Macaca mulatta: one gene and its partner. The protein of the gene in region 2 interacts with the protein of the main gene of each other region in a biochemical or structural test. Links are inferred from orthologs where the notes say so. Each region holds a gene or a part of one and is shown on either strand. Other genes may lie near its edges.

Region 1 (3,515 bases), on a different chromosome or scaffold from region 2:
AAAGAAAGGGTAATGAGGACAACACATCCCCTGTATGAGCGCTTCCTGTGTGCTGGCCTGGGGCTGAGGCACATGCCCAGGTGACTGACGTCATCTTCAGAGCAGCCCGGTGAGGGAGGGGGTGCTCTTCCTATATTTTGTTTTTTTGTTTGTTTGTTTTTGTTTTGAGACGGAGTCTCGCTCTGTTGCCCAGGCTGGAGTGCAGTGGCACGATCTCGACTCACTGCAAATTCCATCTCCCAGGTTCAGCCATTCTCCTGCCTCAGCCTCCCAAGTAGCTGGGACGACAGACGTGCACTACCACCCCCGGCTAATTTTTTGTATTTTTAGTAGAGATGAGATTTCACTGTGTTAGGCAGGATGGTCTTTATCTCCTGACCTTGTGATCCTCCCACCTCGGCCTCCCAAAGTGCTGGGATTACAGGCGTGAGCCACTGCGCCCAGCCCACTCTTCCTATATTTTGAATGAAGCTTAGAAAATGATTGAATTACTAGGAATTTGAACCTAGGCCCCTTGACTCCAAAGCCTTCAGTCTTTGTTTTGTGTGTGTGGTTTTTTTTTTTTTGAAATGGAGTCTCTCTGTCGCCCAGACTGGAGTGCAGTGGTGCGATCTCAGCTCACTGCAACCTCTGCCTCCTGGGTTCAAGCAATTCTCCTGCCTCAGCCTCCTGAGTAGCTGGGACTACAGGTGCCCACCACCACGCCCGGCTAATTTTTGTATTTTTAGTAGAGATGGGGTTTCACCATGTTGACCAGGCTGGTCTTGAACTCCTGATCTCGGTTGTCTGCTCACCTAGGCCTCCCAAAGTGCTGGGATTACAGGCGCGAGCCATCGCGCCCAGCCCCAAAGCTCCCAGTCTTAACCCCACACTTTGAAAATTGAAAATTACAGATAGGAGGTCTTACGATATGGATTGCCCTGAGGAGGTGCACAGCAGAAGGCATGGTCAGGATGCCACGGCAGGGGGTTCATTCGTGGGGTCATGCCCTCTACCCTGTGTCTCTTGCAGCGGTCCCAGTCTCCAGCTGCCTCCGACTGCTCATCCTCATCCTCTTCGGCTAGCCTGCCTTCCTCCGGCAGGAGCAGCCTGGGCAGTCACCAGCTCCCACGGGGGTACATCTCCATTCCGGTGATACACGAGCAGAACGTTACCCGGCCAGCAGCCCAGCCCTCCTTCCACCAAGCCCAGAAGACGCACTACCCAGCGCAGCAGGGGGAGTACCAGACCCACCAGCCTGTATACCACAAGATCCAAGGGGATGACTGGGAGCCCCGGCCCCTGCGGGCAGCTTCCCCATTCAGGTCACCTGTCCAGAGTGCATCGAGCCGGGAGGGCTCACCAGCCAGGAGCAGCACGCCACTCCACTCCCCCTCGCCCATCCGTGTGCACACCGTGGTCGACAGGCCTCAGGTACGGGAAGTTAGTCGTCAGCAGACTGGTTATGGTGGTATGTCTCCAGGGCTACAGGAGCTCTGTGGGGTGCCCTGGGTTCCCCCTTTATCCCTGCCTATTTAACATGTGTGTACCTGGAGGGAAGTGAGATTTGAGAAACTGCTAGGTATTAACAGAAATTCAGGACAATTGCTCAGGCCCTCCGCACTCTGCAGCTTATGCTGGGCTGATCATTGTGCATTGCGGCTGACTTAGGGCAGAAGAAACAGCTTGGAAGAACTTACATAGCTGGGACCAGGTTCCTTAGTGCCCACCACACCCTTTCAGGGCTCTTCACACCCCCATCCACACTGCAGCCACAGCCTCATCTTGGGCGTAGGCAGCGCGTCACCTTCCGCTCAGTTACCCACTCCACTCTGCAGGCCCATTCTGCTCATTCCCACCCCTGTGCCTTTGCCCATGCTGAACCCGCTCCCTGAAATGCCTGCACAGTACAGGTTCTCTCCGTCCTCCGAGGGATGAGCCAGTTTTGTCTCCTCCATGAAGCCTACTCATCCTTCTCATCTCATGACTCCTCATATGAGTCCCTTAATGAGAGACTCCCAACTTGTATGAGTTCAACATGTGATTATTCTGGGTATTTCAGAAGTGTTCATTTTATCTCTTTAGCTTAGGGCTGAGCCTGACCACAGGGCCCATGTCTTAACGCCCCTCCTCCCTGTGTAATCAGGTACCATGTGGTCTGGCTGAGGCATCCGCCAGCTATGGTGGATTGGAAGCCGTGCTGGCCTGGGGAAGGTTGTAGGCAGGGGTCTGGTTATCTTCCAGTGGAGACACGAGGTGCAGGTTCCTGGAAGAGGATGTCATTTAGTGTGAGCAGCTTGCAGCCTAGCAGCAGAACAGTCAGCAGCCCTGGGCCCCCTGTGGCTGCAACTCCAGCAGCTGAATGCTACAGTTTTTAAAGAGGAAAACTCCTTGTGAACAAACATGGGTTATTCTTTTATTACAAATGGTCACACTGGCCAGGGCGCTGGAATAGAGCACCCTCCTCTTAAAAATTTTTTTTATTTGGAAATAATTTCAACCTGATAGAAGAGTTGTGTGAATCATACAGAGTCCCACATACACTTCATCCAGTTCACTGTTTGTCAACATGTCTGCATTCGTCTTGTCATTTCTTCTCTCTCTCGTATTAGTGATGTGTTTTAACTGTTTGAAAATTATTTGTAGATGTAATGTCCCTTTTCCCCTGAATAGCAAATATTTTCCTAAGAGGAAGACATTCTCATTCATAACCGTGGCAGACTTACAAGATTCAGGAAATTTAACATTCTTACAACATTATTATCCAGTGCACAGCCCATTTTCTAATCTTTTTTATAGCAGTTTGTCCCCACTTCCAGGATGTCTTCCAGGATTGAAACAAGGATCATGAGCACTGCATTTAGACGCAACTTCTCTTTAGTCTTCCCTCAGTCTGGGACAGTTCCTCGGCCTTTCTTGACTTTCACAGCCTTGATGTTTTTGAAAAGCACAGGCCGTGGAACACCCTCTCTAAAGTGTTTCTAAAGTCACTTCTTACACAGCCGTCTTGTTGTCAGAACCTGGGAGGGGTGCGTGGTTGGGTTGTGAGTGGTAAGGGCCAAAGCTGAGGATGTCTGGATTGGCGAAAGAGATTTGATGGAAAAGGAGGTTGCTGGGGTGTAGACAGCTACGTCTCACACCAGATCCATACTCGGATTCAGCAATCCTAGGAGGGGCCCATTTGTAGAGAGAGGGATATTTTATCCAAATCATTCCCATGTATTTCTCATAATCAGTGAAACACTATCTCATCCTGTTTTTACCCCCATTAACCATGTTTGTGGTAACTTCCCTTTTAGAGCTGATGCAAAGTTCCCTTTCGGGAGGCTTTCCAGGATTTCACCTCACTGAACATTATAGTGGAATTGAGTGTTGTAAACTGGGAATAGTTTAGAAATAATATAGTCTAGTTATTTCCCAGTTGATGAAATTAGGGTGAGATTTTAAAAAAGGTTTTAGATATTCACTTACATGAATAAGAGCCAAGATAAGGCCAAGCGCAGTGGCTCACACCTGTAATCCTAGCACTTTGGGAG
Region 2 (3,515 bases):
TCACTTTGGTACTTAGAGAGCACAGTCTAGGTCCTAGGGATGCACACTGGCATTTGGTTGGTCCTTGTTTTTAGGCCTTTTCAGTGAGCAGAGCTGAGAAATTTGTGTTTATTTTTTTTTCAACTATATCACGAGTCCATCCAATCAATTCAGAACTGCAAGCTTTTACTTACCCTACTTTACAACTCTTTCTCTTTTAGCCCATGCTGAAAATCACGGTTTCCAGCAACAGCAATATAATTACTCATTAACTTACTCCACAACCACAAGCAGCATCTTAGAATAACAATCACAACAGTACTACCAACAATATAATTACTGAAACCTGTTTAATTAATATGTTTGCTTTTTGTTTTGTCCTTAGAGTACATCCCATCAGGAAGGCATGCTCCATTGCTGTGTTTTAGAATAACTTCTCTTTTTTCTGAGGCAGGGTCTCACTCTGTCACCCAGGCTGGAGTGCAGTGGCACAGTCACCACCCACTGGGTTCAAGCAATCCTTCTGCTTGTCAGACTCCTGGGTTCAAGCAATCCTTCTGCTTCAGCCTCCTGAGTAGCTGGGACTACAAGTGCTCGCCACCATTCCCAGCTAAGTTTTGTTATGTTTTTATTTATTTATTTATTTTTGTAGAGACAAGGTTTCACCATGTTTCCTAGACCAGTCTCAAACTCCTGAACTCAAATGATCCACCTGCCTCGGCCTCCTAAAGTGCTGGGGTTACAGGCATGAGCCACAAGGCCTGGTCAGAAAAACTTTTTTACACCATCATTTCTTAGAGTGCATCTGTGTCACAACACTCAGTCCTAATGGCATAAAATCTGATGCAAACTCACGAAGACTGACCTAAGAGAAACTGCAAAGTCTGTTCCATTTATCTTATTATGTCTCAAGCTCAGTGATATTCCCCCACTCTACCCCAGGCACCCTCTGCAAAGGTCATACTCCAGATGCTGTCTTTACTACTGACTGGGTGCCTCCCACCCACCCCATGGCAAGCATGTCTTTTCTGACGGCCACCTCCTACTTTTTCAGCTCACCCCACCTAATACCATAACTCTTGAGGTTTAAAAAAAATTTTTTTTTAACTCTAGCAATACCTAGGATCCTTTGGTACTTTCCGTTGTGCTCCCTGAATTTATGGCCTCACGTAGGTGCCTTGGTCCATCTCTGTATCACTCCCTTGAAAACACCCCGCCCCTGCCCCTCTCTCCCTCCTGGCAAAACCCCAACTTTGTTTAAACCCACCCTGTTGCCCCTTCTGCAATCTGGGGCAGCAGAACATTCTTGAGAAAGTCACATAACCAGGCTGACAGGTCTCATTTCCTTTTAAAAAATGTTTTTAAATTTTCTAATTTTTTAAAAGATGGGGTCTTGCTATGTCATTCAGGCTAAACTTGAACTCCTGGGCTCAGGGGATTCTCCTGCCTCAGCCTCTTGAGTGGCTAGGACTGTAGGCACATGCCACAGTGCCCTCATGTCCCCAGACACCCTGGCAGATACTACTCATTTCTGTTGTCTCTTAACCACAAAACCATACATGCACGTCTGTTTGTGTGGACTTTCTTCTGCTCTCCCTGCTCTTTCTTGAGTGCAGTCTAACCAGGTTCTGGACCCTACTGTCTGCTAAATAATTCTCATTGTGGTCAACATGGACTCTGTTCCCAAATTCCACAGTGGCCTCCCACCCCAAATTCAAAGAGGGCAGGGCAGGCCATAGGAGCTTACCTGGACTCCTCTTTTCCGTCCCAAAACACCACGGTGTACTCCTGGCCCTGGGACGAGAAGAAAGCTGTCTGCTTTCCACAGTGCAGCTCATACATGAAGATGGCAAAGGTCGGGTCCTTCATCTGGCTCACAACCGACAGGGCCAGCGGTCGCTGAGGGAGAGGAGCCACCAGAAGGGAGCAAGGTCACTTACAACCAGATTGGTGCCAATTCTGCCCATGAGGTCAGCCAGCTTCAACCAGGGAGAAATGAGGGATTCTGTTCGTTCAGATTGGATCCAAACAAGAGGCTAAAACAGCTTCAGATGTCAGGAGCAAACCCATCCAGATATCTGGGTCACCCTTGGCTATGGCAATTTAAACTCATCTGGTCAGGTTAGCTGAACCCCAGGTATTCCAACCCAGGCCAAGGACATACACTCTTCATCTCACTATATTGCCCAAGCTGGAGTGCAGAACCTACTCACAGGTGCAATCATAGTGCACCACAGCCTTGAACTCCTGGGCTCAAGTGATCCTCCTGCCTCAGCCTCCCCAGTGGCTGGGACTATAAGTCCATGTCACCATGCCCAGATAAAGACATGCATTCTTCTAAAGAATATCCTGTTTACTCTCAATACATTAAACTAGCTCGTTTGATTTAATAAATGAGTTTTAACCTTGAAACTACTAGCCTCTTCCAAAAACACAAAAACACCACCAACAAAAAACTAGCCTTAACACTATAATATGATCTCTGATTCTCACAACCAAACCTTTTCCCCGTTACTTTAGAAAGAGATACCCACATTCTCTCTGTTCTTGCACAGGGACTGTATTGTTATAAAGGGGCTGATATACTTTGTTTGCATGGTGAAGTAACACAAAAGTTGGGGAGGAAAAGGAAGTTTGTTTCCTAAGAGTGACATGCACACACAAAGAAAATGAAAGTAGATATGTTAGAAGCAGCAAATATCACCCTCTAGAAGAAATGAGCAGAGAAGGGTCGCCAATTGTGACGGGTGGGCAGCCACACACACATACTCTGGGGACCCACAGCTTCTGCCACATGGCAGGAGGTCCCAGGGCCCTGGGCTTTGTGCTCCCAAGTACCTTCTCTGGCTTAGTGTCCCAGCACTCCATCATGAGTGCCTGCAATCGATGGAACTGCACTTCCTCCGGCTGCCCCAGAACTGGGCGGATGCCCTTGGACAGTTTCTTGGCAATCTGGAGCTGGTGGTGGCCCAGTGCAGGTCGCTGTCCTGACAGCAACTCGTAGAGCACCATTCCATAGGAGAACATATCTACCTGGGCACAGAATAAGCCAAGTCAGGTCCCTGCCTGGGCCCAGTGGCCTTCACTAGTTGGCCCTGAGGTTGACAATTAGACAAGGAAAACAAACATTCAACCAACCACCTGACCATGTCCCTCTGTCCATTTATCCATCCATCCTCCCAACTACCCATCCATCCACCCATCTGACCACTTTCTCTTCTATCCATTTATCTCTCCATTTTCTTACCCTTTCTTCTTTCCATCCATCCATCCATCCATTTGCTTGTCTTCCTGTACATTTATCCATTCTTCTCATCTGTCCATCCATCTGACCACCTGTCCTGCACATTTATCCATCTATCTTCCTATCCTTCCTCTTTTCCATCCACCCATCCATCTGACTTCCCACCATATCGTCCATTTGCCCATTGTCCCATCCATCCATCCATCCATCCATCCATCCATCCATCCATCCATCCATCCTTCCTTCCGTCCAATAAAACATACTGAGAACTTGCTGTTAGTCACTGATTAAG

The links.
Region 1: the proteins of LRRK1 (region 2) and BAG3 form a complex in vitro, tested with the Homo sapiens proteins (2 studies listed by BioGRID and IntAct, with this or other methods). The link is inferred for Macaca mulatta from reciprocal best matches to the Homo sapiens genes LRRK1 and BAG3.

Annotation. Positions count from the first base shown.
Region 1 is NC_133414.1:131,769,931-131,773,445, forward strand, and holds part of BAG3 (BAG family molecular chaperone regulator 3), read left to right. Parts: intron 1-1,011; coding exon 1,012-1,413; intron 1,414-3,515. UniProt on the Homo sapiens protein: Co-chaperone and adapter protein that connects different classes of molecular chaperones including heat shock proteins 70 (HSP70s), e.g. HSPA1A/HSP70 or HSPA8/HSC70, and small heat shock proteins (sHSPs), e.g. HSPB8.
Region 2 is NC_133412.1:91,426,304-91,429,818, reverse strand, and holds part of LRRK1 (leucine-rich repeat serine/threonine-protein kinase 1), read right to left. Parts: intron 3,013-3,515; coding exon 2,818-3,012; intron 1,879-2,817; coding exon 1,727-1,878; intron 1-1,726.